7 linked regions of the Callithrix jacchus genome follow. The protein of the gene in region 2 purifies or fractionates together with the protein of the main gene of each other region. This does not show direct contact. Links are inferred from orthologs where the notes say so. Each region holds a gene or a part of one and is shown on either strand. Other genes may lie near its edges.

Region 1 (4,009 bases), on a different chromosome or scaffold from region 2:
TCTTGCAATTCTGCTCCTTCATCACTAGGCTAGGATGTATTGAGTGATGGAGTTGATCATTTTTCTGAAAGGTGATTACCAGAAAGCTAACATTGACCCCTCACATTAAACAGGGATTACCTATACAGCTGCCCTAACACACAGAAACAGCTTTTCAATACCACATTCTTAGTCCACAGAACCTCTGCAAAAGGGCCACACTGGAAATCACATGTATACAAAAGTGCTTACATTACTCTTCCATCTTCTCAATCTCTCACTGAATGACACGTGCCCACATGAAATAATCTGGCAATAATGAGGACCCATCAAAGATTCTACCAATTACTTTTTACCACACCCTATAAAACATTATTAAAGCTACACAATTAATCTTTTACCTGAAGGAAAATTTAGCCGACCCTTCATGCTCATTAAAATCATCTTCATCAAAGAGATAACAAAAGCACAGCATTATCAAACTGAGATCGCTAAACCATATGTTAAGAGTTTTGTTCCAGTGATTACTTTAGAAATCATAAGTGAATTCTATATTTTTACTAGCTGATAAGCAACAAAGGCTCTCTGGCTTTCTAACAAGGCTTCTCAGCCCTACTAGTGCACTATATCCACGCCACCTGAAACTTTACTGCCAAAGAAGAAAAAACAAGTGATTATCCACTAAGGAATTTCCTTCAACTTGGGCTCGCAATACATCTCTGAAGTCACTCCAGTTTTGTCCAGCTTTCTTTATGGAATAAGGTAGATCACGCACCAAGAGTAACAAACAGTGCTCAAGGAGACCTGAAATTGAGAATGGCTTTTTGGTCTTTTGAATACCTATTTATTTTCTAACAAATGGAGCCCTTTTGGAATTTCTGCTTTAGGCACCTATAATTTACATTTTAGAACACCTTCCTGAACTTAAGAGTTGGGCTTAGATTTGTGACCAGTCTGCACATTTCCTTGAAAGTTCACAGGAAAATGGGGTGGAAAAAGAAGTAATGAAGGGTCATCAGAGAAGTAAAATTTGAGTGTGGGCTGGGCACAGTGGCTCATGCTTGTAACCCCAGCAACTTTGGGAAGCCTGCAAGGAGTCGTTCTGGAGGACTGCTTGAGCTCAGGAGTTTAAGACCAGCCTGGGCAACATGACCAGACCCTGTCTGTACAAAAAAATTTTTTTAAATAGCTGGGCATGATGGCATGCACCTGTAGTCCCAGCTACTTGGGAGGCTGAGAAGGGAGGATCACTTGAGCCCAGGAGTTGAAGGCTGCAGTGAACCATAATCTGCACTCCAGCCTGGGTTACAGAGTGAGACTCTGACTCTAAATAAGTAATTAAATTCAAGCTTGCACTGCCCATTCTAGAATGTGACTGGGGTAGCTTACATCCTTTTGCCCTGTGGGGGAACAAATGTTATTTATCACTCATAGGACACTCACCTTGAGGATTTTTACAACCACTCTCTCATTGTTGGTGATGTTAATGGCCTCAAATACTTCACTATATTTTCCCCGACCAAGTTTTCGAACCAGTTGGTAATCATCTTGATTACTGTAAAAGGTAAGAGACAGACACACATAAATGCCAGGACTGGGGGTTAGCCAAGCCTATGCCCACTATACACGTCATCCAGCCGCTTCCGCCAGGCAAACACTTGGAAGTGTCTACACATCACGTCACAACTCATTCCCTAAATGAAAGCCACGACGTAATCTTGGCTCCCTTCACTCTGCAGAGCTCCTAACCTAACTGGTCTCTCCTAACTTGGGAAGATGGGGTAGAAAGGCAACGCTCTGAGCCAATCCAGAGGGGCGAACAAAGCACCCGTCCTGAAGGCCTAGAGGGTGCCCCCTCTGCCCCGCGGCTTCACAGCACCTGCTTCCCGTTTCACACCCTGAAGGTAGACAATCCCTGTTTTAAAAATGTGGACGTCTTTAAGAAATTTCCTCCCACTACCTCATCTCAGAAAACCGAAAAGGCAGAGAATTTTAATAGCTCCAGAGGACAGCTGTTGACTTCCCACCCTAGTGGAAACCCAAAAGTGTGAGAAGGGCTGCTCCCTCACTTCCACCCAGCGCCGATCCGTGCACCCCACACTTCTCTCCGAGTAAAAAAATCATTCCTTGGGGGAAAGGGGTGCGCAAAGCGGGGAGAAAGGGACGAAACCGGGGTAAAGGGGAGGGAAGAGGAAGACGAGGACATGTGCGAGAGCGGGACCTCTGTCTCCAGCGGGGCCGCGGAGGGATCGGCGGGAGACACCACCCCGGCCGAGTGCGGGTCGCGGGGGGCGGCCGGGCGGAGACAGGGGTCAGCGGGCCCGGCGGGGGACGGCGGCGGCTTTACCCCCAGCTCGGGACGTGAGACTCGTAGTCCCAGTACTCGCGGCTCCTCAGGCTGTTCACCTCGGCGTAGACCCGGGCCCTGCTGCCCGCGGCCGGGCCGGGCATGGCGGGCGGGACCGGGGGGCGGCGCGGGGCGCAGAGGGTGGCGGCGGCGGCGCGGCGGAGGGCGCGGGGCGGCGGGCGGAGGAGGCGGCTGGCCGCCGGGCTCTGGAGAAGGAGGAGGAGGAGCGCGGTAGCGGGCGGCCGCGCCAGGCCGGGCCCGCGGGGGCGGGCGGGCTGGGGGCGCGGGGGGCGCCGGCCGAGCCGGCCCGGCCCTGGAGCGGCCGGCGGAGCGGCGGGGCGGGCGGCGCTCGCGCTCCGCGGCGGTCTCCGCTCGGCTCGCGGCCCCCAGGAGGCGGCGGCGGCGGCACCGGCAGCGGCAGCCACCGGCCGGGAAAGGGGCAGCGGCGGCAGCAGCGGAGAAGAAGGAGGAGAGGAGGAGGAGGCGGAGGAAACCCGGAAAAGGGGCCGCGCTCACGGGGAGCGGCCGCCGCCCGGCCTGGGGCCGCCCAGGCTCACAGCGCCCCCTGCAGCGCGGGGGGACCCGCCGGGCGGTGCCGACCCCGCCCCGGCCCCACCCCAGCACGCCCCGCCCCCTCCCCCGCGCCCTCCCCCACCTTGGCCCTCCCGCTGCCCCAGGCCGGGCTGTCCAAATCGCCTCACCCTCCGGCTGGCCTTACCTCACGCCACAGGAGCCCCCACTTCCACTGGCCGTTGCCTTAGAACCCTCCCCTTCGAGTCCCGACCCTTTCAAGATTGTCGGTGGAGACCCTGCCCCCAGCTCTGCAGTTGCCCAGCTTTTACCCCCACACACCTCCCATACCCTCTTCTCGCCCAAACTGTCAAGTCTCTCTCCAGGGCCTCGCTCAAACCTCAGAACCTCTCCCACCTCAATACTTCTCCCTTCCCCCGAGACGTACCCCTCCTTCCCCCTCTGGACCCTTCCCTGTTCCCGCAGACTCCTCAGTCCCCAAGACTTCCCACCCTCTTCATTCAGAGTCCTCCTCACAAAACCCTTATACATTTCCCCCAAAAGCCCCTCCAGAGCCTTCCCTGAGAACCCTCTGAATACCCACTTTGGTCACTTGGTTAAGCTGGAGTCGGCCAGGTTGTGCCACCGCAAAGTTACAATTTTTCCCTTTGTGATTAGTAAGTCGCTTGTGGGGAGAGACGTTGAGAGTCTGTAAATCTCCTGTTTTTGTTGAGGAGGAGGGAGAGCAGGAGAATGTAAATTTGACCTGAAGGGACAGACTGAGATTGGGTATGCACCGGGATGGGTGGCCAGCTGAGCTGGCCTGGCTTCCAGTGTTGCCTGCGGCCCTGGACACTCCTCTCTTTTGACATTCTAGGCCCTTCTTCTGACTTTCTTTCTCATCCAGCATCCTTTCGCGACACAACCTCTTCACCCAGTCCAGGTTGCTCTGATTCCAATCCCTTTTCACATTCTGTTTTCTGGATGAAACTCTGGGCCTTCCTCCTTGACAAAGCTAAGAGCACAGACTGTGGAGTCAGATCTATCCAGTACTGCTGCTTACAAGCTGTGTGACCTTGGGCCAATTATTCAACCTCTCTGTTTCACAGATTCTACAGCATAAAATCAGTAATAGCACCCACTTCACAGGGCTGCAAGGAGAACTAAACAAAA
Region 2 (4,192 bases):
AACCTTTCATCCATGTCTATTGGTTTAAAAGCTAGAGTAGAAACCCCATTGGGCTGCTCTGGGAGCCAGCACTGCCGTCCCTACCTAGTCATGCTGCAATGCAGACATTTATCCCCCACCACCACCACCACTTCCTGAAACTGGAAAATAATGCTACTTTGAAAGCAATTAACTTTTTACAGACTCATGCTTGGTGGGGGCCACAGTACGAGAGGAAAAGTGGCTAGCTTGGTCCAGGGTTGGGAACTTGCTGGGGGTTATACATTTGAAAACAGATCTTGGCTCTCCAAACCTGTGGGAGCCATTTTAATGCAAGCTTTTAGAGGACAAATGCCTTGCCCTGAAGTTCCCTTCCAGCCCAACAAACACAGTATTATGCAAACGTTGAAGGCACCAAACCAGGAGTCTTATGATTAGACACTGCTTCTAGGGAGGCCACAGGAACCTCAATATGTAATCTCCATTTACATATTGCAAGGAGATAAGAACAAAGAAAAGAGCTGAGTGTCTGAACTTACTTGTTTGGGGCAGTGGAACTGCTCAGTTTTAAGTATATAACATCATGAACTGCCTGCAGTTTTATTCTAAGAAGCTAAGCTGGCCTGCCTTGCACAGACTTTTCTCAACTTAGAATGTGGTACATTTCTCCTGATTAAATGAGCCTTTTTCCAATTTGATGTCAGAAAGTGGGCTACTGGACACTCATTTGAAAGAAAAAAGATTACTGACTCCATAAAGTTGACATAACACAGCAACTGAATATATATTTCCTGCATTTACAGTCATGCCGGATTGGTCTCCAAGCTGAAAATTTACATAGAGAACTTCTAGGGAAATTCTGAAGGTAATGCTAAACAAGACTACTTTTTCCACTTAACTTCTAGCTGCAGCCCAAGGAGAGCAAGGGAAATGTAAAAAGAGAAATCTTATGTGAGGCCAGCATGCATACAGATGTGCAGATCAGACCTGGAAAAAGGTCGAAATGTGTGTCAGTGAGTCCTGAATAAAACACAGACTGGTGGTGGATGAGATTTTGTACTATATATATAAAAATCCTAAAACACGAGCACTGACAACCACCCCCCCAAAACACACATACCACCACCACCACCACCACCACCAGCTTCTGCCCCCTCCCCTTCCCCCCCACCCCTGCAGTATTTTTAGGTCTCTGCACCTCTAAGCACAAACAGTTTCATTTCACAAGCACATCACCTACTCACAGGTTGAATATCCAAACAAACCCCATTAAAGGTCTAGAGTCAAGTCACAATGAACTGAACATTTCTCCCTGACTGGGGGTAAACAGGAAGTGTAATCTTCAATCCTAGCTGCAGGTTATCAGGGAAACCAGTGGATTCAAACAGTCACCTAAAATCAAGACACTCTTTAAAAGGCCCTTGTTCTGTTCCTGCTAATGAAGCCCCCAACTCCTGTAGCCAAGACCCCCTCTTACAATCAGACCCCGAATGTTCACAAAACTCTTCAAACATGGTCACAGAGGAAATGGATTGCTTTACTTACCCAACAAATGTTCAAGCAACCGTCTCATTTTTCCACAGTTAGGAAGAGAGAACAGGCTGGCAGATTTGGGACTTGATCAAAAAGGAAATTTTTTTAAACAGTTACATGGTATTATTAAAAACACACAACAACACCACCACAACCCAACAACTGAATATGGAATGCTGTCAGGAGCCAAAGACATGATTTTATTTCCTCTACACTCCATCACACAGAACAGAGGAGGATACAATGTATAAAAGGGAGAGGAAAAGGAAAAGGGTAAAAGGTAACATCAGTTCCTTGAAAAATCATGCAAGAGTGGAAAGCTAAGGGATTCAGAGACCTTGCAGATTTTTTCCTTTTCTTTTTTTGCAGGATGTTGTCCAAGATCTCTCTCCCCCCACCCCCCAATCCCCATCCCTACTCCAAAAACTTCCTCCAACACTTTCAGAAACATTTGCTGGCTGTAGGCTGGCTTGCAGAACACTGTAGCAACCTAAGTCAAGAAAACAGGCTGAACAAAGTAGTTTCAAGTGCAGAAGCTCTTAGAATAAGAGAAGCTCCGTGTACAGACACCACCACCCACCTAGGCCCCAGGAGCTAGACTCTCCTTAGCACTGCTCTGCTGAGGGCTCAGTTCTTTTTGCAAACACGCTCCTCTCTTGTCAAAACTTATCCAGCCTTCCCAGAACCTCTTTGGAGAGGCAAACTTGCCTGCTCTGCTGTCTGCCATGAGCTCTCCTTGGAGAGGAGCCTGCTTGCTTACCTTCCATTTTCTTCCCCCAGCAGGGCATGTGGCAAAAGAGAAGACAATAGTGCAGGGAGGGAGGGGGGACTGCTCAGAGAGAGAGAGAGAGAGAGAGAGAGAGAGAGAGAGAGAGAGAGAGGAAGAGAGGGAAAGAAAAAAAAAGGAAAAAAAAAAGAGCTTCTTTTTTGGCATACCAGGATCTAGCTTCAAACTCTTCCAGAAACACCATGTCCTGGTGGAAGGAAAGGTGTGCCAGGCCCTTGCCAGTTTGCAAAATCAAGCTATGGCTAATGGCTACTGAGCCATGTGACCCAAGAAAGCAAAAAAAATTCTCTCTAAACAGTTCCAAGTTAACATAAGTGCTCTGGGGGTGAGTGTGGCACGGCCAGCCACAGAGAAATCACACTGCTCGCCCACAATTCGGATGTCTCAGAGGGAGGGGGAAAAAAGATGGTTAAAAAGTCGAGCTTACCTCTGTGGATGCATTGTTAACACTGTGTAATGTCAATACTTATAAAACATGGAGGACAGGCTCCTAGTTCTCACAGAAAAAGGGTTTGGCACTTCGGCTGATGATCTGGCCGCCTAATAAAAGCTCATCCCCGATTGGCTGCCCCGGCAAATCGGAGTGTAAAGCCGCCCCGGATTGGCTGAAACACTTCCTGAGCGATTATCTTTGTGAGGCTCGGGTGAGCAAGAGCCATCCTGTGCATAGAAAAAGACAGGCTAAGCTAGGCCTTTTGCAGCAAGAAAAACTTGGGAAAGGGGCCCCCACACGCACTTCTCCCACACCCTGGCTAGATTTCCGGGCACGGGCCAGCCAGGGCAGCCAGCCTGACCTGCTCCAGGGAAGCCCGAGGCCCAGATGCCCCTGGGAAGAGAGTTTCTTGAGGTGGGCTGGGACGGGTCACCCTCACCTGCCCCCAGAGAAACGGCTCTTGTCCAGGGAGGAAGGCCAGCCCTTTTCTAGAACAGTCCAGCAGGGTAACTCCCCAAGGGGAAGAGGAAGCTGGGGAGTGGGGAGGCCAGGGGAAACAGCCAAGGGAGCCAGAAGAAAGGGCTTGAGGCAGGCCTCTGAGGAGCTGGGGGAAGCAGGCAGCCCCGGGGAGCCCCGAAAAATCAGCAGAGAACATCCCTGGCTTCTCAGAGGAGCGAGGAGCCGCTGCTGAGGGGAGGAGGGGAGCAGAGTGGTCAAGTTTGCATAGTCATTGTCCCCATGCCTCCTTGCAAGGCAGGCCAGAGAGCAGTGGGCCTCTCACCCTGCCCAGCCAGCCCTGCAGGCAAAACCAACGCGGGTTCCTGCCTCCCTGCCACGATGCCAACGGGGGCCCCTCTCGGTCCTTACCCTAAGAAAAGCCCAAAGCCCTCCTGGCAGGCCACATGCCTGGATCTACAAACTTCCCTTCCCTCCCGGCCCCTCCCCCACGACCGAGGCCTGCTAAACCTGTCAGTTAAACACAAATCTGACTTCCGTATTAGCCTAGGATGCCTTCGGCTTCCTGCCTGTTAACCCTCACTCGGACTCAGGGCCTGGCTGGGAAAAACTAGGCCTTGAGATCGCAGCAAAGGCCTGTGGAAAAATACCAGCTGCAGCTCTGCTGGCAGATGCAGACAGAGAGAGAGAGAGCCGCTGTCTCTCAGCCTTTGCTTCCCAGGGAGGCGTGTACCTTGTGAATCCAGGGCACAGGCAGTGCCTCTCGGGCTGAGAAGCCATTTCAATCCAGAGGGAGACAGAAAGATGGCATGCTCAGCCAGGAAACAAGAGCCCCCATTATGCGTCAGGCCTACCCCCGTAGGTCAGCCCTTCCTGCCACAATCATCCCTGTTATGTGTGAGCCTGGGGGAGCTGGGCCCAAGTCGGTGAGCAGACAAATCCCTTGGGCTTCCTAAGGATTCTTGCTTCCATTTATTTGCACAGAGAATGCTTCTTCTCGTCCC
Region 3 (4,286 bases), on a different chromosome or scaffold from region 2:
CAATTTCAGGAGATTCTGCTCTAAAACATCACATGTGGCCCTAACTATCCCTCATTTTCTAATAATAGTTCCTGGGGTTTTCAAGGACAAGACCTCTCAAGCTAGTGGCAACACCTTCCTCCCCAAGGAGCTGCAGCTTGCCCTGAAACCTTGTGGAAGGGGTTAACCTGGCTAGGCGCCAACCAACGTGGGAGGGGACAGAAGAGCCTCAGGCCCAGGCTCATTGGTGCATTGTTCCCAACCTCAGGGAGAAGGGGGGTTGTGCGGTAGGCTCCACCCCTGGCCTATGTGCTCCGGAAACCCTGTGCTAAGGCAAGGGGGACCACACCCCCAACACTCATTCTGATTGGACAAGGCCAAGGTCAGCCCCTGCCAGATGGGGCTGGAAACCCTAAAGGGCCAAGGAACTTGGTAAGCCGGGATCCTTCTTAACCCCTTCTCACCCAGAACAGTCTGAAAAAGGAAAATTTAGAAAGGTGGAACAAAAGGAAGGAGAAAGAAAATCAAAGCAGGAAAGGAAAAAGAAGCTGAGGAAAACATGTTTCTTTGTGTTGTTTTTTTTTTTTAAAAAAAAAGATGAGAACTTAAAGAGAATGAAGACAGGGCAAAATGAAAAGGGAAAGATGTAAAATGGAGTGGGGGCCGGGAAATGGGTGAGGTAAGAAATGAAAAGTACAAGAAAACTTTCCTACCATCTTCCAGCTTCCAGGTATTCCCACCACCTTGTGATTACAAAATGAGCCTACTTCCCTGTTATGCGGGCCTCTCAGAACAATCTCTTCCTCTTCACCTTGACCTTCAGTCACCACCTACTGTTCTAATGTACACCAAACTGTCCCCCTTTAGAAAAGCATTCTGCTTCTCTGAAGTTCATCCTCATCCCCTAAATAAACATTATCATCTCTCTCTTACACTCATACACAAACCATATTATAGCTTTCCTTATCACAATCTCTCCACCCTGCTTCCAACCCCAACGTGTAAAAACAGGCCTCCCTCCTCAGACCAGGTATTTCCCACCCCTAAATTCACACCTCTGCCTTGGGCATGCTACCAGGAGAAACTCCTGCAGGGACATGCCCAGGCCTCAGATCATGGGGAGGGGGAAAAGAAAGAGATGAAGGTACTCACTGGCATTACTATCAGCCAGGCTGTTGAGACTACTAGAAATGTCCCTGCGCCGGAAAAGACAGACAACCTTTGCCTCCACATTTCCATTTGCAGTCTAAGGAGAGAAAAAAAAAATGTAGCAGTGAAAAATTGATCATCTGGGTACAGAAATGCACAGAGACAAATAACAGTAAGTTTCAGAGGAACCTAAATAAAAAATCCCAAGAAAATAGGAGTAAAGACTTACATTCAAGGACAGACTTCCAAATCCCTTTCCTTTGCCCCCAAGAGACAGAATAGTAAGTTCCTGCTAAGCTCTCAATAGCCTTTCCTGAATACATCCAATGAATGAATGAATGAATATGAATAGATACTTAGTATAGAGTCCTCTCTTCCACCAGAAGTTAGAAACCTCAGAAGAAAGAGACCACTGGGGGAGGGAGGGAGAGGGATTCTGCTCCACTCACCTTGTTGAGCTCCTCAATCCGTCTAACCAGGTAAGGATTGCTAGAGGAGTTCTCAAAATAGACGTAATCTGTAAGGGAGGGGAGGGGGAAGAACCACGAAGATCAGAGGACGAGACGGGAGACACAGAGCACGAGAGTAGGAGAGAAAGTTGGCCTGAGTGGACCAAAAGAAGATAAAGATCCAGGTAGAGAGGGCGCTGAGATGTGAAAGTGGAAAGACTAAGAGAAAATAAGGATGTTCCCCATCCCCACCACGCCTAGTTCTAAAATCGGATCCTTCACAGAAAAGTGAGCCTTAAGGAACAGGCAAGAAGCAGGGGTTCCCCTGCGTCCCCACAACTCAGCTATGAGTTGCAGCCCAGTCGCGGCGAAGTCATTGTTCACGCTGGCGCTGGGCCCCCACCTTTTCGAACCGAGGCGCACAATAACGCCTGGGAAGAGGAAATCTCCGGGCGGCTCCCCCGCGGTGGCAAAGCCGTCGCCCCAGCCCCTCGCGTCGCCTCCCTACCAGGTCAGCTCCTTCTGAACCAGTTTCCAAAGCCCACTCTGTACCCGGGGGAGCCCCCGACGCAGCCCTGAGAGTGCCGTCGGGGCTGCCCGCAGCTTCTCTCCGGGAGTCTCGGCACCCTGCCGCGTCGCGGTCGCCGTTCCCGCACCCTCACTTCCCCGCTCCCAGTCTCCCGGTTCCGGTTCCGGTCCGCGCTCGGGTCCACGCTGCCCCAGACGCGGCGCCCCGCGCCACCAGGTGCGGAGTCCCTCCGGTCCCGACCCCAACATCTCCCGCCCCGGGCCCCGCACCCCTGCGCCCGGTACTCACCCCCCACCCGGTACATGTTGGCCGCCATGGCCGTTCCCGCCGCCGCCTCCGGCCGCACAAAGGGGTCCGGAAGGCTCGCGGAGGCAGGGCTCGGCTCGAGGCAAAGCCCCGAGCGTGGGGCTGTAGCTTCAAGGGAGTCTCAGTGGGGCCCGCGCAGCCGGCACCTCCACTGCCTCAGCCGTCGCGGTTCATCCCGGCCCGCGCTGTCGCCGCGGCAGATATCGCCCCACTCCCGGGACGCTGAGGCCGGCCCCGGTCCGCTCGGCTTCTTCCGGAACGAGCTCGGCTCCTGCCAGGCCAGAGCTAAGCTCCAGCTACCCCCGCCCCCGCCGAGTCCCACTAGTCGTTGGGATCTGCCGGCCGCAGGGAAGGCTTGCCCGGCCCGCCTCGGGGTTCGCCTCCTTCCGGAACACCTTCGGCCGATCCGGAGAACAAGGCCCACCGTTCGGCTTAGGTCGTAGAGCGAGACCCCGCAGATCGGCTACTTCCGGAAGAGGTTCGGCTCCTGTCGGCCAACAGCGGCCCGGCACTCGGCTATTTCCGTCGCAGCTCGGACCCACCCCATTTTTCCGAGGGCGGGAGAGAAGTCGGACTTAACTGTGTACTCGCTGGGTCCCTGCAGCTTCTCCTGCCGCCCCGAAAGACTCGCGCGCCTTCGCGCTTAACCAGGTTATTTGCAAGCGGCTTTGCCTGTTATTTGCATAAATGGTCTACGCTCCCTTACCCTTTCCGCACGCCTCTTTTCCTTCGTCCCCACCCCACAAGGCCCCGGAGGCCCCCAGCAGCGCCCCACAAAAGCACCGGGAGGCGACTTTGGTTCTCGTTTATTGCCCCTCAGCAGGCAGCGGGAGTCAAGGCCTAGGCTGGGGCTGCCCAGCTCAGCCAGCGGGTCTAAACAGTGTGTGCAGGGGCGCCGTTCGCGCCCTCCAGGGAAATGCGCGATCGGGAATGTCTGGAAGTCAGTCGAGGAGTCAGCCCCGGGTCTAAAGGAACTAGGGCGGGGCGGGGCGGGTCCACGCCTTCAGCCAGTTGGTCCGCCAGGCCGAGATCAAACGTCAAGGGAGGAGGCGGGGGACAGGGAGGGGGTTCGAGAGGGCGTGGCGGGCGCTGGCCCCGCGCCCCCTGCTCCCAGCATTCGCCACTGGAAGATGCTGGCATCCTTGCCGCCCAGCGAGACGAGGTGCGAGTCGTCGTACGTGAACCGGACGCTGGTCACGTGGCTGCCGTGGCCACCGTACATGCGGCTCGGCGCCTGGACAGGAGGGAAGGGAGTTGCGGTGGCGGCGGAGCCCTCGGGCCCACCCGTCCTGTCCCGCCCCACCCCGCCCCGGAGGCCCCTGCGGCCTCACCTTGGCACGAGCACACGGGTACTGGAAAAGATGCACTTTGCAGAAGTCGTCAGCCACCGCCACCACGCGCTCATTGTGGGAGCGGCACAGGGAGTTGATGTCGGTCCCATCGGAGCCGTCCGGCCACACGCCTAGCACAGCGGCCGGCCTCAGCCCGACCTCCTCCCCACTGCCACCCACGGCCCAGAGCTGCACTATTTCAGGCGCTCCGGCAGCCACGGCCACCCACTGCCGCGTTCCAGGCAAGCCTTCCCGGTCCCGAGGGCCGGGGGGGGGGGGCCTCCTGGGCTGGATCTTCAGGTTTCTGGACTCCCACCCAACGACACACGCCCAGCGTTTCGAGCCCAAACTGGGCTCCACCTTGTCCCCCGCCCCTCCAGCAGGGTTCCACGCCCCTGCTCACCGTAGACGTGAAAGCCCAGCACACAGGTGTACGTAGCCCACTCCCGGTCTCGGCTCTCATAGCGATTCTTCAGCTGCTTGCAGCCTCCAGCCACATCCCCTGGGGAGAAGGAGCTCAGCTCTCACCCCGCCCTCAGTCAG
Region 4 (4,233 bases), on a different chromosome or scaffold from region 2:
TTCACAATAAGCAGAACCAAAAAAATAAGATTTTACAAAATCCTAGTAAAATAACAATCTTCCACATAAATTCGGTCACAAAAGAAGAAAGCAAGCATTCAAGGTTGCACTGTGTTTCTTTAAAGAACCCTTGTCTAGGCAACAATTTAACACTTTAACCCCTTCAATTATCCTTTAACTATCCTGAGAAAAGTATTTCTCCATTCATCACCACTGGGGAGTAAGTACTCCTTCCTCCTCAGCTCAGTCTTCATTCTAGGCCCAATTTTTACCTGGCCCATGCCTCTAGCCGTTTGTTCAGTTTTCCCTGCTTAGTGCACCCATCACAATCTCTTTAGTTCTTCCATCCGTTATAAACTAGATCTCACATTTCATTCCATCCAGATGTGTCTCCCTTTAAGTATTCTAGGAGTTGATAAAAGGGATAGAAAGTTGGGAAGAGAAAAGGGGGCGTGGGGGGAGCAATAAGAGCTGTATTTTACAGGACAACCTCTTTGTCTCTGAAAATGACAGAGCCAAAATAAACTAAAGTTTGCTTTTACAAATATTTCCAAGCTTTTACTTTTTTTTTTTTTTTTTTTTTTTAAAGAGACAGGATTGGGAGGCTGAGGCGGGCAGATCACTAGGTCAAGAGTTTGAGACCAGTCTGGTCAGCATGGTGAAACTCCGTCTCTACTAAAAATACAAAAATTAGCCGGACATGGTGGCACGCGCCTGTAGTCCTAGCTACTCGGGAGGTTGAGGCAAGAGAATCGCTTGAACCCGGAGGCGGAGGTTGCAGGCGGAGATCCAACCTGGGCGACATAGCAAGACTCCGTCTCAAAAAAAGGAAAAAGAGAAATAGGAGCAAAAAGGAAGAGGGAGAGAGGGACCTTGGCAGCAGCCAAAGCAGGGCAGGTAGCAACAGAGTGATTAGAGGTGAAGGAAGAACAATGAAGTACCATAAATCACACAGAACAAGTAGCTCCACTGCTTTTCTCCTCTGAGTTCATTAACGTTCAGTAACTGTCCACAGGCCATGTGCCCATACTGCCCGATGCAGTGTTAAGTAGATAGAATAGGCTCCCAAAGCTAGAAATCCAGGTGATAGCAACCAGTTCAGAGGCCCTGGGAATTAACAGGGTCCAAGCAGTACCAATAAAGGCAGTACCAACTACAGTATCATTTGCTTGGCTTAGTAGTCTGAAGGATGGCGTCGTAGCATGTGATATTCCAGAACAGCATGGAAGTGGAGAAGCATACCCACCACCGTCTCAATCTTGAGGTTGAGAGAAGTGAATATCCAAAGGAAAGAGGGTGCAGAAAAGTCAGCAAAAACAAAACACAGTAGAAGGCATACCATTTCTGTTGCCCAAGCACAGGTCCAGCAGGTGGTGGTAGGAGACCTTGTGCAGGAGTATTCCCAAGGGCAAACGTTAACCCGACTGGAACCCAAAGGGCCTGGGGATCTCAACTGGCTCCCTTAGTGGGCGGCGTCTGGCTCTACGGACTCCTTCACGCAACAGGTAGTATTGCAGTGGATTTGGCCACAGATCCTCTTTAATAATTTCAGCAATTTTGTCGGACTCTGGAAGGCTGTGGTCTGAGAACCAGGTGAAGAAGCTGCAGATGAGGTCTTGGTTTCTGCGAATGAAGGACTGGGGTTCATGCCCCCTGCGCCATATAATTGGAGTGGAAAGAGACACCACTCGGCCGGAAGATCTTACCTCATATTCCTTGACAATCAGCTTGTTTCTGAAGTAGGGGTTTCTTCTAAAGAAGAATTTGAACTTGCAGCCAGTTCTAGGGTGTCTGAGTTCCTTCACCTCTAAATTGGTTATGTACCTTAACATATCTGCATCTTGGCCCCTGATCATGGCGGACAACTGGGGGTGGTTTCGAAAAGCAGTCATCCAGAAGCCCGGGATATTCTGAATGATGTAGTTCCTCCGCTCCAGGTAGTGTCGACGCATCCGCCCAAACTTGTGCTCTAGTTGTTGGAAGGCCCTATCGGCCTGAGCATTCACAGTGTCCAGTTCCTGCTGGATGGCCTCCAGAGGGTCCATGCGGAGAGCCTCATGCAGACGCCACGGCCCTTCCTCCTCCCTCGCCTCTACTTCTTCACCTTCTGGCGGCTGCTCCTCTACCTCCATCTGCTCCTCCACTACCTCCTCCTCCGCCAGGCCTTCCTTCACCACCACCTCAGCCCTCTCCTCCTCAGCCACGGCTGCTGAGACAGTGGCGCACTTTCCTCTCTTCACCTCCTCAGCCTCCGTCCCCGCCCCCGCCGTCAGCTCCGACGCGGACCTCTCGGCGTCACAGATTTCTAGGGCCTTCTCTCCATCCTGAACGCCCTTTTTCAGGCTGTGGTCCGCTGCCCCCACCACAGAAGCGGCTGCCAGGCCCTCGGCAGGAGGCTGGCCCTCTTCCTGCCCGGCTGTGATCGCTACATGACCGCGACCCCCAACAACTCGGATCTGGGGAGTACCGCCACGGCCCGCGGGATCCTGGGGTACGCACCCTTCCTCTGAAGGCTGCGGGGGCGGGAGCGCGACGGTCTCCGAGCCTCCCTCACCCAGCTCCGCCATCACCTGTGTCGCCTCGCTTTTGTCGCGGAGCCTCAGGCACTGGCGTGCGTCCGGGTCGCCCGAGACGTCGTCAGAAATAGGGATGCTGTGCGTTTGAACGGGAGGGGTCTTCTCGACCCCATCCAGGCCGCTCATGTTGGTCACAGTCGGACCGACCTCAGGTCAACGCCCGTTTTCCTCAGAGAAGCAGCGCTCGGAGGTAACTGCCGCTCGCACCGCCCACCCTCGGGTCTGAGGGAAGTCTCTGCGGCGGTGTCGTCAGGCCTGCAGATCTCACGGTATCGCGAGACCTTGCTGAGCCCGGAATTGGTTCCGCCTCTTCCAGCCAGCCAACCGGATTCTCTGGGCTTTACTTCTGTGAATTTACCCATAGCAACAGTCATTTTACCTACGTAAAGAAATGTAGATCGTCCTTAGTTTGGAAGCTGTGACGACCCACCTTGAGATGAATCTGGAGACTGCCCCCAGCATGTGAGAGCAGTTGTAGAATCACAGCCCTAACAGTGCCTGCTCTTAAGTGTCTCAAAACAAATGCTTTTCCGGTCTTCACTTTTTTCAAGGCAGGAAGGCAAATCTATTCCGTGTTACTCCATGTAACTAGGAGCAAAAAGCTTCTCTAAGATGAATAGCAAAATGTTTCTCCCCTTCTTAGTAAAAGTGACATAAAAATATAAAGTCTAGCCTTTACCATTACTGGGGGTGGGGGGAAGCTACTCAGCAGCTTCTTACCACTAAAGCGATGCGTATTATTCATTGCTAATTCTCGATTTATAATCTCCATCAAATAAGAGTTTGTGCTGCATAATATCGGTAGGAATTAAGCCAGGATCAATTTGCTAAATGTTGTTCCATGCCTCCTCACTGCAAGAAAGAAGAAATGATAACTATTTCCGGCCCCATAAACTTAATTTATTATGTTTAGTTAAGTAAGATAGGAATGTTTGGCTCTAATGAGGCATCTGTCTTTAGCAATCAGCTAAGAGTATTAGAGAGGAAGGTCAATGTCTCTGGTTGAAGTGTTCCCGTTTGTTAACTTGTGAGTTAAACTTGTGTTATCTTAGAGAGTTACAAGGCCTCAGAGAAGTATCAGCTGGGGGAGCCACATACCACCATTTTGTGAGGAAAGGCTAATTAAAATGGACAACCAATGTGGCCTTGAAGTAGAAAACAAACTTGCAAAGAGCAACATGCAGCTGGTTGACTCAAAGTGTAAAAGAGGCAAACATTATTTTCCACTTAATTTGCCTTGTGTGGTAGTAGGCTGATGGCCCTCAAAGATGTGCCTGTCTTATGTGGCTAAGAAGACTTCACAGATATGATTCAGTTAAAGATTTGGAGATGGGAAGATGATTCTGGATTATACAGGTGGGCCCTATGGAATTACAATATTTCTTTTAAGAAGGAGGCAGGAGGGTCAGTCAGAGAAGATGTAAGGACAAAAGCACAGAAAGAGGGAAGAAATGGTGGAAAATAGGAGGGGGAGCAAGGAAAGGGAAATTGCTATGTTGCTGACTTTGAAGATGGAGGAAGGAGCCAGGATCCTAGGAATAAAAGTAGCCTCTAGAAGCTTGAAAGGTAAGGAAATAGATTCTACCCTAGAGCCTCCAAAGGAATGCCAACACCTTGAGGTTATTACCTATAACCTCCAGCACTATAAGATAAATTT
Region 5 (4,137 bases), on a different chromosome or scaffold from region 2:
AGAAGAGGAAAATATTAATTCACTAAAAAGGGAGACATACATATTATGACTCTTTTTTGTTTTTTAGACAGAGTCTTGCTCTGTCGGCTACTACAACCTCCGCCTACCAGGTTCAAGTGATTCTCCTGCCTCAGCCTCCCAAGTAGCTGGGACTACAGGTGCCCACCACCACCTCTGGCTAATTTTTGTAATTTTAAGAGAAATGGGGTTTCACCTATCGGCCAGGCTGGTCTCGAACTCCTGCCCTCAAGTGATCTGACTGCCTCAGCCTCCTAGAGTGTTGAGATTACAGGCATGAGCCACTGCACCTGGCCCATGATGACTCTAAATATAAAAAGGGTCTGAGTTACAGAAGTAAACTGCTCTTTCAGAGGCTCTAAGCAATTTGAAGAAATCTGCAGACTTTTAAATATTCAGTAACAGAAAAAGCAAAAGAATATTAAGAATTCGGAATCCTGCGTAACTCTCTAAAATCTCAACTTTTTTTTTTTTTGGAGTCTTGCTCTCTTGCCCAGGCTGGAGTGCAATGGCATGATCTCGGCTCACTGCAACCTCCACCTCCCAGGATCAAGCGATTCTCCTGCCTCAGCCTCCTGACTACCTAAGATTACAGGTGCATGCCACCATGCTTGACTAATTTTTTGTACTTTTTTAGTAGAAAAGGGGTTTCACCATGTTGGCCAGACTGGTCTTGAACTTCTGACCTCAAGTGATCCACCTGCCTCAGCCTCCCAAAGTGCTAGGATTATAGGCATGAGCCACTGCACCTGGCCTAAAACCTCAACTTTCAAAGTGTCTAGGACTGAAAGTAGAGCCACCTCTTATAATCTTTACCCAGTTTATTTTTTATTTAATTTTTAAAAAATAGAGATGGGGTCTCACTATGTTGCACAGGCTGGTCTCCCCCTGCCCACCGTCCCAAAGTACTGGAATTGCAGGCAAGAATCTCTTCGCCAGGCCACCCTCTACCCAATCATCCGTCAAGGAAAAACAAATATTTTTAATATTAAAATTAAGAACACTAAATGTATACCTTGTTGAGTTCTTCTATCCTTCTTATTAGGTATGGGTTGCTGGAGGAATTCTCAAAGTACACATAATCTGTAATTAAAGGAAATACAGAATTTAATCTTTTCAACAGAAAGCTCAGATTTGTCAGTCCATGACTTTTAATGTTAGGCAATTCACATTTGAAATTAAGCTCATAATTCATTCACTGGTAAAAGCAAATAGCCTTAATATATTCTCTTATCTGCCTACGATTCACAGACCTTTATTTTCTTGGCATTTTCATTTCAATTAACGTTTTACCAGGTTCTCCTAGACTTCTGTCCCAATATGTCATTTCTTTAATAATAAACAAAAAAGGCACCTCTTATCACTGTACAGTTAGGGCACACTAAACATGTGTCCTCTGTACTGTAACTACTTCCACATCTTTTTCCTCCAATCCAATTTGCCCTGGAGGCTGCTTCTCACATAAAACTATTGACCTAAGACATTCAGAGCACGGAGAAAGGCTTCACAGTCCAACCTACATTTCAATCACTACTTAAAAAAAAAAATCAGGTGAGCAGAGCAGGTAAGAGGAAGAACGCTGACAAACTTTTCCACAGCTCTGTCTGGAAAGATGAGAAAACAGGGGGGCCAAGGGGATCACTTCTAAGAGGGAAAGTGCTCTGGGGGTGATACCATAATGTTTTTTAGCCTTTTACCATATTTAATCCAAATCTATTTAATGTCTTGTGGTTAAGAAATTGCCGCAGGCTTTCAACTAAAAGGATAAAATTTTTCAAGTGTGGCTTTTCGTCTCATCTAATAGGCTCGCTGGAAACTTCCCACTGTGTGTTTATCTGAAAGGCAGGGCTGTGCTGTTATTGTCTATCTTAGCGGCTCTTTCGCGGCTCTCTTCTGCAAAGTGGCCTCATTTAGCCAGGCGATTCCTACTACTATCCATCAGAAGCTCGGCTAATGAGCAGAGAAGGAAGAGCCGGTCTCTCATACAAACACGCCACTTATCTGAATTATTATTTTACCAGGAAAGAGGGAGGAGGGCGTCTTGAGTAGGGAGAAAGTTTGTTTGACCTTATTTCTCTCTTCCGCAGAAGACTGGGAAGGAGGCAGGCAGCAGAGCAAACGTCCAGGCAGAGCTCAACTCCCCACCTCCGGCAGAGGTTCCCAGGCCCTACGAAGCCCCATTTGTGGGGGGCTGGACCAGAAACGAAACGAGGGAGGCGAGGAAGGGGAGGTGCAGGGCCCCGTCCCGCTAACAGGCCCGTCCAGCTGCGCCCCTGGCTGGGCCCCCACCCCCACCCCAGGCTCCCACTGAGGGGAGAAGGAACAGGGGAGGGGATGTCCCCCCATCCTCTCCAGCGCCTAGAAGCCACGCAAGGAGACGGCCACCTTCTCAGGGGGCTCGACGGGCCCTACTCCCATGAAGGTTTCGTGGAGGGGGGGGCGTCTGGTCATTCGTACCCCCAAGTAGAGGCCTGGCCCTAAAGACGAGGTGGGGTGAGAGGGTGAAGGTGGCCCCAGCTCCTCGCAGGCCACCGTGGGGGGAGGGGAGGGAAAAGGTGGGGGTGGGGAGCCCCGGCCCCTCTGCGGGCCCCGGCGCCCCCGTCCGCTGCGCCCTCAGCCCCCGCACCCTTGGCTCCCGGCACTTCGCTTGCGCTCGCCCCGGCCCCCGCCCCCCGCTCCCGGAGCCCGCTCCCACACGGGCCGGGTCGGGCCGAGCCTGCCTACCTCCGACCCGGTACATGTTGGCCGCCATGTCCGCCCGCCCGCCCGCGGAGCCCGAGCCGAGCCCCGCCCGCTGCCGCCGCCGCCTCCTCAGCCTCAGCCTCGACCGCCGCTGCCGCCGCCGCCGCCGCCGCTGCCTAGCCACCGGGGGGAAGGGAGGGAAGGGAGGGGGCGGGGGAGGGGGAAGTGAAGGGGAGGGGACGCCGAGGGGTGGGGGCTGGTGCCCGCCCCCAGCGCCAGGCTAGCGAAGCCGAGTGGGCCGGGCCGGGCCGGGGGAGGCCCGAGCGCTGTGGGGCCAGCGGGAATTGGGGGGAGGGAATGGGAAGCGGGAGGGAGAGTGGGGTGCCTTGTTGGAAGTGGAGGGCCCTGGGGCCAGGGTCCTGGCCGAGGCGGAAGTCTGGACTGAAATGCGGACCAGGGGCTGTTAGAGAATTGGAGTCGGGGCTGGCGCTCAGCCTCTCCGCAGGGCCTCTTGCCCCACCCAGGGTATCCCATCACCTGCCCACCCCGAGACAGGTCCTCCTTCCCTGCTTCCGTCCCTGAGGAACCCCCGTGTGTCTGACCTAGTAGGCAAGCGCCAGTCTCAGTGCAATCTCTTGGATGCAAATAAGTGTAAGCAGCAGGGTTCCTTCCTTCTGGTGAGGTCCACGGGGGCGGCCTGGTACCTGCAGGTTCTGGGGCCAGGAAGACCCCACGTAGTTCCCGCCTCGCCAGAGACCCAGCCGGGGACAGAGCTAGAAAAACTCCCTTCTAGGCCACCCTAAATGCGCCATCGTTCATCCCAACTGAGCAGAACCAACTCTCCAACACCCAGATACAGGCCCTGGCTCTAGACAGGCCCTATTTATGCAGTGCCTGTTCTTCTGGGATAAGGGACCTTTAGGATTGGGGGCTTCCTTTGTCCATGGGGGAACAGGACCCTACAGTTCACGATCACCACCACCCCCAAGAAGAGGAGATGCTGTTCAATCAGCTTGATATTGATGGACACTTAACTGGTTATGTGTCTAAAGCTTCTAAATGGTTATTGTCGCAGGCCAATTCTCTAAACAACCTCTGTTTTCACGGCCTTCCTACTCTCACAGAAACAACAACAAAAAAAAATGTTGAATCTTAACTGGCTATCCCCCAAACGACCAAAAATAACTTTCTTTAGAGAAGACAGTCCATTCCAAAGTACTCCCAGACATCACTGCATAATAAACATGAAGACGATTTACTGGTGTGGTGGCTTGTTTGCAATGTCTTGTGATACACAGCTGTGTGCTGCCAACTTGAGTTTGAGGTGTGTGCGGGGGTAAGAGGTGCCCCCAGAAAAGAAGTTGTGTTTTGGTTGTTTGGTGGTGACATTTGTGATGGTCCCTTATCACAAAGTATTGATATGAAAAAAGTGTTCTG
Region 6 (3,500 bases), on a different chromosome or scaffold from region 2:
GGTTCCCCATCATGGACAAGGAAGGGAATTCCCACAGCCCTCCAGTGTACTGAGGGTACTGGCCTAGCCATGGGGAATTCCCTACCCTGACTCCTTCCCCAAGTCCAGGGAAAAGAGCTCTCAATTTTTTATTTTTAATTTTTGTTTGAAATAAAGTCCTTAGTTAGCCACTTGTGTCATTTCCAGGTGTTTTGGGGGAGTGGGGCGGGAGATGGGTGATGAGGCGTGAACGGATGCCCGAGTGTCCAAGATGCAGAAGGTACCACATAGAAAGAGGCTTGCTTTTCCCTGCCTGGCTTGGTCACCACCACCGCTTCTCTGAGAAGGAAAGGCCTCCCATGCTCTGACTCTCACCCGCTTCCTGTCTCCAAGTCACAGAGAGAGGCCTGAATGGAGATGAGACCACAAGCAGTTTAATGGTCTGGTTTTCTCCCTAGTTCCCCCAGTTAGTATTATTACTATAAGAATAAAGGATTCCTGAGAGCCTGTCCTCTCCTGTCCTGTGGCCCCCTTGACAGGACTCATCCCCACCAACCCCCCCCCCCCCGATTTCTGGGGAAAAAAAAAGAAGTGAAAGGCACTGCAGGGGTGGGGGGCTTGAGTGCCAGCAAATTGATAGGGAGGGGGCACTAGGGCAGGGCCTGGCCCAGAGGAGGAAAGTTCCAGTCCGTGCCTGAAGGAATTGTGGAGGGGTGTGTCCCTCCGTGACACCCCCATCAATCCTTCCCCGAACCTGTCTAGCAGGCACACCTAAGTCCCATCCTCCCACCCCCAGGCCCGCACTGGGGATTCTGCAGCAGGAGCATAATTAGTGTTAGGCTCAGAAAGGAGGAACGGAGGGTCCACGCTACTAGGACTCCAGGGCCAAACCCAAAGGGAGGTTGCAAGTTAACTAGAATAATCCTCAAAAGCTTTCCTTCAGGTTGGAGAGAAATTAACAAAAATGTTAATGAAACTCCCCAGCCCAGGGACCAGGCAGCAGCAGGGAAAGCCAGGCTCCCAGAGGTAAGTCCCAGGCTTGGGCCTAGTTGTCCCCGACAGCCCCCTGCCGAGCCCTGATGAACGCCATGCCATGCGTGCGGAAGTGGGTCTTGAGGTTGAGAGGGCTGTCGCAGCTTTTGCCACAGACCTTACAGGTCAGTGGGCCTCCCGAAGCTGGCAGGGGTGAGTCTCCACCATCGGGGTCAGACCTTGATGGAGGGGCCTCGTCCTCCCCATCCCCCAGCCCCAGGGCACTGGCTTTACCCACACCCCGTCTCTTCTTGTGGCTGATGAAACGGTGCCGGTTCAGGGAGCCAGGGGAGGCAAAGCACAAGCCACAGTCGAGGCACTGCTGGGCGCCACCCTCCACCCTCAACCCCACCAGAAGGCTCTGTTCCATGGAGCCACTGCTCCGGTAGCGCAGGGGGCCATGGCCTCCAGATCCAGGTCCACCCCTGGGGGTCTTGGCGGGCGGTGTTGTGCTGTCAGGCTCTTCACTGCAAGAGTCAGAAGACTGGCGGCGTTTCCGACCTGGTCCCTGAAGAAAAGTGGAAGAAACGGTCTCACCACCACTCCCACTGCCCCTGGTACCCCTCCCTCACTTCCTGCGGCCACAGATTCTACCTTCCAGTTTCCTACTCAAAGCCCTAACACAACAGGCCAGGCCCCTGCCTACCTGGGCTCTGGCACTGGGACCCCGAGCCAGGGTGCTCCCCCGGCCAGGGGACTGGGCCCCAGGTGGCAAGCCGTGCCGGACCTGGACATGTTTCTCCAGGATCAGGCGGCTGCTGAAGGTGCGTTTTCCCTCTGTGCAATACCTGAAATGGGAGAGGGCAGGATGGCAGCAGGGGCATAGCCCGAAGGCCAGGGCCCTTGCTCCTGAGGAGGGGCTGCTGGAGCAGAGGGAGACCTGGTCAGGCCACTGAGACCAACTGCGGGTTCGAAGGTACTCTGGCATATGCAGGGGGTCATGTGCTGGGCAGGAAGAGGAAGTGGGGAGTAGGAGTTACCTGCAGGGGTAAACTCGCTTGATGCCCTCGTGATTGACCCTGACATGGCGCCTCAGGCTGGGGGCAGAGCAGAAGGAGCGCTCACACAGACGACAGGGAAACTTTTTCACTGACTAGGAGAGCAGGGGTAGATGTCAGAGCCAGGCTCCAGGACCCCGTCCCCACTGTCACACCGGCAGTCCCAGTGCCACCCCCGGCCCATGGTACTCCCCTCGAGGCCCACTCACCTTGCCATGCTCCTTCTTCATGTGGCTCACATACTCGTCACGCTCAGGGAACCAGGAGTGACACAGGCCACAGGTCCAGCCTCCAGGCCCCCCACCCCCACCCTTGAGGCCTTTGCTCCCTAGTTCCCGCCGGGGCCGTTTGGCTGGACGGGGGGGCTCAGGGGAGCTGGGTACTTCCTCCTCTTCAGAAGATGTAGATGACTCCTCGGTAGCAGGGGCTGCCCCTCCCTGAGAAACAGCCAGCTCCTCGGGCTCAGCCTTGGGGGTCAGCAGGGCACCCCCGGCCCCTTTCCCAGCAGTCTCCTCCAAGCGCCCAGACTGATGGGTGTTCTGTTAGAGGAGACAAGGGAGGTGGCTGCTGTGGGGAAGGCCCTGGCTGTGCCAAAGCCCCCCACTTACGTGGCCCCAGCCCCATGTCAGTACAGCTAAGCACCCATTCCCCACTGCTCTGCTCCTGTACCTTGAGATGTTCTAGCATGGTCCTTTTTTGGGCAAAGAGCAGAGGACAAGACGGGCACTTAAAGACACTGACACGCTGGGGCAGCAGGTGCTGGTCGAAGTGTGAGGAGAGGAGGGGTTTGTGAGTGAAGACTGTGTCACACATGGCGCACTTGTAGATCAGCCTAAGGTGAGCACAACACAAACGTCAGGCCACGGTGGGTGCAGCCCCTCCCCTCTGCCCCCAACCCGCCCTCCCCATCCCATCCCAGCCTGCCCCTCCCTAGGCCTCACTTGGCCTGCTGCGTTTGGAAGCTGGGATGCTGGGAGTAGAGATGGGCGTGGGCGCTGGGCCCAGACTTGAAGGCCATAGGGCAGATGGGGCACTTGTGGAAAACCTCGCAGTGCGACGTCTGGATGTGGGACTTGATGGAGTTCACACCCCCAAACACAACTGAACAGCTGGGGCACCTGGGGAGGAAGCAGGAGGCCCTGTGGTAATGAGGGAGGCATCTCCATGCCCATCCCAGCACCCCACACTTTTTCTCCAGGACTGGGTAGACTCCAAGAAGGAAATCAGCAGTGGAACATGAGCAGGGTGGAGAACGGGGGGAGGTGCAAAGGCCATTCCCCAAGGGAGGCTGCCGAGGCAGAGCTGAAGCTCCAGAGGTGGCCCTCCTTCCCCCCATCTCTATGTCAGGAAGGCAAGATGTACTATTCTCAGGGTTGAGTTCCCCAAAACGACAGGGCTGAGGGATACAGCAGGGGAGACGGGGGTGTCAAAAGGCTGTCGAAGGTTGAGGCCAGGACACATGAAACCCTACACTCTGGAGGAAGGGTCCAA
Region 7 (4,265 bases), on a different chromosome or scaffold from region 2:
GGCCAGGGCACTCCGCGAGGAAGAAACAGGCCCTGTTCCCTGCCGGCTCACTGCTTCAGCCAGCTCAGCTGGCACAAAACTGCTGTGGCCGCCACACCTTCCCCTAGCGAGCCCGACCTGGCAGGGCCTTGGAGCAGCCTGCCAGCTAAAATGTGGGATGCCCAGATTAACTATGATCGTCAGATAAGAATCTTCTGGGATAAGCATGTCTCAGGCCATATTTGGGACATACTTACACTAAGAAATTTCTGTTTATCTGAAACTCAAATTTGCCTGGGCGTCCTGTACTTTTCTGTGCTAAATGTGGCGCCTCTATGCACAAGGTCCCTGCAGGCACACAGGAGCAAGCCCCTTCCCAGGCTGGGTCCCTGCAGGCAGCTCCCACAGGCCAGGGCTGGCCGCCCAGACAGGGCCCATGCCAGGCAGCGGGCGACAGACACACGAAGGCCACTCAGGAGACACTGCACACCTTCCTCTGTCTTGCCTAGGGGCTCAAGAATCCAGATGCCCCCTCCCCGAGTGAGCACCAAGACAGGAAGCCAACCTGCAACATCCAGCCCACTGCCACCACGGGGCCCTGCCAGGACCGCAGGACCAAAGCCGGGATTCCCGTCCAGAAGCCAGGCATAAATGCCGCTTCTCCTGTAGGATGATCAGGACAGAGAGGGGGAGCCCTAGTCTTGCCAGCAGGGAGAGGACGTCCTCGGGGCAGCCACACGGGGGGCCTGACAGCCCCGAGTACACCCTGGCCACAGTGACCACGGACTGCACACACAGAAGCAGCCGGATCCCACGCCTGCCTGTGCTGCCAGCAGACGGCACCCAACCTCCGTGCTCCTCATCCCAGGAAGAGAGCAGCGGCATCTCTGCCAGGCACAGTGGGCCCTTCTGCAGCAGCTTCGGGGTCCAGTCCACCCACCCTCACAGCACTGGTGCACTTGGGTCAGTGAGGCCCCAGGACGGGCCTGTGGGCATGGGGTAACAGAGGGTGCGGGGGACAGAGTGTCACGCAGCCCCACTCAGGGCTCCTCCCAAGCCTGTGCAGCACCCAAAGGGGCTGCAGCTCAGCGACGGGATGAGCAGGGCCCTGGCATTCTCAGCCACTGGGCACAGGACGGCTGAGACACAAGGTCCTCACCCACACCAAGGGGAAACCAAGGCACAGGAAGGTGGAGGGGGCGGCCAGGCTGGTGCCAAGTTGACAGGCAGGGGGGCCTGAAGGCCAAGCACGCAGCCACTCGCCACTGGGAAGGCATGAGCCGGGGTCCAGGTAGCCCCAGCCCTAGAGTCCAAAGCCGCCTTCACTCCCCACCCCCATCCTGGGTGGGGGCAGGAAGGGCTCTTCTTGGGACCAATCCCAAAACCATGCGCAGTAGGCCCAGCTGAGCCAGGCAGTAGGCATCCTCTGTACCAGGGTGAGAAACTGGCCCTCATGTCAGGCTGGAAGGGGGTATCCAGGTGGGGAGAAAGAACAAGGAGGAGCAGGCCCCTCCCACGAGGGACCCCGCACCCAGGCTGATCCCTGGGCAAGGGGTGGGCCCAAGCCCACCTGTGTCCACACACGGACCCGGCAAAGGTGTGTGAGGCTGTGGGAGGGGCAGCCGCGGGATGGAGAACAGGCCCACCGCCCCTGCAGAGGCCCGGGGCCGCGAGCTGCTGATGCGGACTGAGCACCCATGTCACAGACGGACGGGTGTAGGGGGCTTCCACCGTCCCCAAGGTCACAGGGCTGGCCGGTGGGACCACACAAACGTCCAAGGTAGCAGAAGCCACGCTCGAGGGACACAGAGCGTTCTGGGCACTCGGGGCCAGGGCAGTGGGGACCAGGCCAGCGCGGCAGTGACCCCAGCTCCCTGCAGCAGCGCAGGCTGCAGGTGGGGGAAGTAATGGGCACCTGCCGAGAGGGTCACCGGCAGGGAGGGGTCTCAGAGTCCCGGGGAGGGGGGCGCTGACGGAGTGATGGAATGCGCGCGACCCCCCACCTCCCTGTGAAAGACCCCACGGAGTCCCAGGCACACGAAGTAGGGCAAGGCCCAAAGCTGCAGGCCCAAGGGGCCCGAGCAACAGGAGGCTGGGCCCAGGGAGGCAGTCCCCGGCCCCGGCCCCGGCCCAGGGGGCCCTCCGGCCTCTCCCCAGCCCTTGCAAAGCGCCTCCCGACTGGGCTGAGGTGAGCGGGAGGCAGGGAAAAGTTTGGGGGGACTTGGAGGCGTGCTCCGGATGCTCGCTCCCCGCGGACGACCCCCGAGGGAGCCCTGCTGGGGGAAGCCCCGCGGCCAGGCTGCAGGAGGGCTCTGGGGAGGAGCGCGGGCCCTCGCCGGGGCTCCCCATCCCCGGGGCGATGCACCGGGGTCCCAGCACGGGCCTGCGGGCCGGGGGAGACCCCACACCCCACAACTCCGGCTCCCAGCCCGGCAGCCGGCGCCTCCCAAGGCCACGTGCTCCCGCTGGGGGCTCCCGGCCCCGGCCCCCCGATGGCCCCGCCGCCCGCGCCCCTCCCCGCCCCCGCGGCCGCCCCCTCCGCCCCAACAGGTGGGCCGCCCCCCACCCCGGCCGCCGCGCCCCGCCCGCCCCCGATGGGGCCGACCCGCGGGGCCATTTTGGGTTGGGGCGAGCGCGGCGGGGGCTGCTCGGGAAGGGCCGGGGCCGCGGGGCGCAGGGGCGGGGGCGGCGGCCGGGGCCGGGCATAAAGGCGGCGCGGCCTTACCTCCGACCCTGTACATGTTGGCGGCCATGTCCGGGCCGGCGGCGGCGGCGGAGGGGCCCGGGGCGGGCGCGGCGCTCGGCGCGGGCGGCCGGGAAAATGGAGGCGCGATGGCGGGGGCGGGGGGCGCCGCGGGCGTTTAAAGGGGCCGCGCTGCTGCCGCCGCCGCCGCCGCCGCCGCCGAGGCCGCCGAGGCCGCGCAGGGACGGGAGGGCCGCGGCGCGGGCGGGAGAGGAAGAGGAGGAGCGGCCGCGGGCGGCGGGGAGGGGCCTCGGGCGCCACCGCCCACCGCGCGGGCCGTTACCGACCCCGCGCCGCCCGCGGCCCGCGCGCCCCTTCCCGGGGCCCGGAGTCCTCCCCGCGCGCCGCTTCCTGGGTGGGCCCTTCCAGCCGCACTCCGAGCTAGATCCTCCCCTACTGCCCTGGGGCCAGGGGGGTCCTCCACAGGGGCCCCTTCCCTGGGGACCGTCCCGGTGCCCCGCAGGTGAGTCCTGCCGTAGCTCTCCAGGGCTTCCTCGTGGTGCTGGGGTCCTCCGCACTCCTCCCTGAGCCCCCCAAGGGCCCTGAAGCTCAGCGGCCCAGGCCTGGCCTCGGGGTCTCCACTCCACAAGTTCCTCCAGGCCTAACCTTTCCCCCCACCCTAGGGAGTGTGTGCCCTTGGCCTTCGCCGCCCAGCCCGCCTGGCACCCTGGACAGGTGGCCATGAGTGCCCTGCTGTGGGCAGGCCCCGTAGCTTGCAAAGCCTCCTTGAACTGTGACCTGGTGAGAAGGCCACAGAGGAGGTGCCTGTGCTCAGAGGCCACCTCCAAAGTCCCCATCTGAGGCTGGAACCCAGCACCTGCCGACCCTGCCAGTCCCAGCAGGGCTGGAGTCCAGGAGGGCCGCACTCTCTCCACAGTGGGGCAGCTGCCTTCCTTCCAGCCACCTGTCAGGATGCCTCCCTGTGTGTTTTCGCGCAGGTCTGAGGATAGGAGAGTCCAGTGACCCAGACGCCCCAGCCAGGAAGAGCATGAGGCGGGAAGGGGGCTTCCCAGATGGAGAGAAACAGGTGGTCTCAGAATGGCTTCGAGATGGGTGCAGCCTCAGTTTCGGAGGTGAGGAAAAGCAGGTGTCTCATGGCTCCAGGCTGCTGATGTGAGCAGCACCGTGGGTCACGGCCCTGCCCGCTCAGATGCTGGAGGTGGGTGCGTGGCTGGAAGGAGCTGCGGTCTGTCTGGGACATGCCTCCCTGCAGGACATGGAGGGAGCCCTGAGGCTGCGGTGCAAGATCTAGGCAGGTGGGACGGACGTGGTCAGGGTGCCGGGGAGAGAGCATGGGGACCCCAGCCCGGCAGGCAGGGAACAGCATGTGCTGGGAGGAGAGTCAGGTGGGGTCCAAGGAGAGCAGGGCCACAACGTTATGGCTGCGGAGCGGACCAGAAAGGAAAGCCCTGCCAGGGTTAGCACAGGCCCGGGAACTACAGGGCGGTCGTGTCTCCGGGAAGAGAGGGCTGTGGGTCCCAGGACCCGTCCTGTGGGCTGCAGGGAACAGGAGCTGGCTTGCTGGTGATTGGGTGGGAAGAGG

What was found.
Region 1: the proteins of ZMYND8 (region 2) and CSNK2A2 purify together in Homo sapiens (affinity purification with mass spectrometry; 6 studies listed by BioGRID and IntAct, counting the BioPlex papers as one, with this or other methods). This does not show direct contact. The link is inferred for Callithrix jacchus from reciprocal best matches to the Homo sapiens genes ZMYND8 and CSNK2A2.
Region 3: the proteins of ZMYND8 (region 2) and MTA2 purify together in Homo sapiens (affinity purification with mass spectrometry; 3 studies listed by BioGRID and IntAct, with this or other methods). This does not show direct contact. The link is inferred for Callithrix jacchus from reciprocal best matches to the Homo sapiens genes ZMYND8 and MTA2.
Region 4: the proteins of ZMYND8 (region 2) and TSPYL1 purify together in Homo sapiens (affinity purification with mass spectrometry; 4 studies listed by BioGRID and IntAct, counting the BioPlex papers as one, with this or other methods). This does not show direct contact. The link is inferred for Callithrix jacchus from reciprocal best matches to the Homo sapiens genes ZMYND8 and TSPYL1.
Region 5: the proteins of ZMYND8 (region 2) and MTA3 purify together in Homo sapiens (affinity purification with mass spectrometry, with the first as the bait; 3 studies listed by BioGRID). This does not show direct contact. The link is inferred for Callithrix jacchus from reciprocal best matches to the Homo sapiens genes ZMYND8 and MTA3.
Region 6: the proteins of ZMYND8 (region 2) and ZNF687 purify together in Homo sapiens (affinity purification with mass spectrometry; 4 studies listed by BioGRID and IntAct, with this or other methods). This does not show direct contact. The link is inferred for Callithrix jacchus from reciprocal best matches to the Homo sapiens genes ZMYND8 and ZNF687.
Region 7: the proteins of ZMYND8 (region 2) and MTA1 purify together in Homo sapiens (affinity purification with mass spectrometry; 3 studies listed by BioGRID and IntAct, with this or other methods). This does not show direct contact. The link is inferred for Callithrix jacchus from reciprocal best matches to the Homo sapiens genes ZMYND8 and MTA1.

Annotation. Positions count from the first base shown.
Region 1 is NC_133521.1:16,079,386-16,083,394, forward strand, and holds the start of CSNK2A2 (casein kinase II subunit alpha'), read right to left. Parts: upstream 2,801-4,009; 5' UTR 2,431-2,800; coding exon 2,327-2,430; intron 1,884-2,326; exon of another isoform or gene 1,710-1,883; intron 1,535-1,709; coding exon 1,423-1,534; intron 1-1,422.
Region 2 is NC_133506.1:42,544,432-42,548,623, forward strand, and holds the start of ZMYND8 (MYND-type zinc finger-containing chromatin reader ZMYND8), read right to left. Parts: upstream 2,801-4,192; 5' UTR 2,741-2,800; coding exon 2,727-2,740; intron 1,551-2,726; exon of another isoform or gene 1,525-1,550; intron 1-1,524. UniProt on the Homo sapiens protein: Chromatin reader that recognizes dual histone modifications such as histone H3.1 dimethylated at 'Lys-36' and histone H4 acetylated at 'Lys-16' (H3.1K36me2-H4K16ac) and histone H3 methylated at 'Lys-4' and histone H4 acetylated at 'Lys-14' (H3K4me1-H3K14ac).
Region 3 is NC_133511.1:119,871,046-119,875,331, forward strand, and holds the start of MTA2 (metastasis-associated protein MTA2), read right to left. Parts: upstream 2,801-4,286; 5' UTR 2,423-2,800; coding exon 2,395-2,422; intron 1,646-2,394; coding exon 1,578-1,645; intron 1,226-1,577; coding exon 1,132-1,225; intron 1-1,131. Other genes in the region: EML3 (echinoderm microtubule-associated protein-like 3), read right to left, coding at 3,443-3,646, 3,744-3,874, 4,147-4,245. UniProt on the Homo sapiens protein: May function as a transcriptional coregulator. Acts as a component of the histone deacetylase NuRD complex which participates in the remodeling of chromatin.
Region 4 is NC_133505.1:122,618,785-122,623,017, forward strand, and holds the start of TSPYL1 (testis-specific Y-encoded-like protein 1), read right to left. Parts: upstream 2,801-4,233; 5' UTR 2,703-2,800; coding exon 1,416-2,702; 3' UTR 1-1,415.
Region 5 is NC_133515.1:72,273,362-72,277,498, forward strand, and holds the start of MTA3 (metastasis-associated protein MTA3), read right to left. Parts: upstream 2,801-4,137; 5' UTR 2,771-2,800; coding exon 2,743-2,770; intron 1,102-2,742; coding exon 1,034-1,101; intron 1-1,033. UniProt on the Homo sapiens protein: Acts as a component of the histone deacetylase NuRD complex which participates in the remodeling of chromatin.
Region 6 is NC_133519.1:11,187,414-11,190,913, reverse strand, and holds the end of ZNF687 (zinc finger protein 687), read right to left. Parts: intron 3,128-3,500; coding exon 2,951-3,127; intron 2,842-2,950; coding exon 2,679-2,841; intron 2,549-2,678; coding exon 2,219-2,548; intron 2,105-2,218; coding exon 1,992-2,104; intron 1,800-1,991; coding exon 1,658-1,799; intron 1,520-1,657; coding exon 1,025-1,519; 3' UTR 392-1,024; downstream 1-391. UniProt on the Homo sapiens protein: May be involved in transcriptional regulation.
Region 7 is NC_133509.1:140,274,664-140,278,928, reverse strand, and holds the start of MTA1 (metastasis-associated protein MTA1), read right to left. Parts: upstream 2,801-4,265; 5' UTR 2,733-2,800; coding exon 2,705-2,732; intron 1-2,704. Other genes in the region: uncharacterized protein LOC128928889, read left to right, coding at 2,801-3,185, 3,661-3,795. UniProt on the Homo sapiens protein: Transcriptional coregulator which can act as both a transcriptional corepressor and coactivator. Acts as a component of the histone deacetylase NuRD complex which participates in the remodeling of chromatin.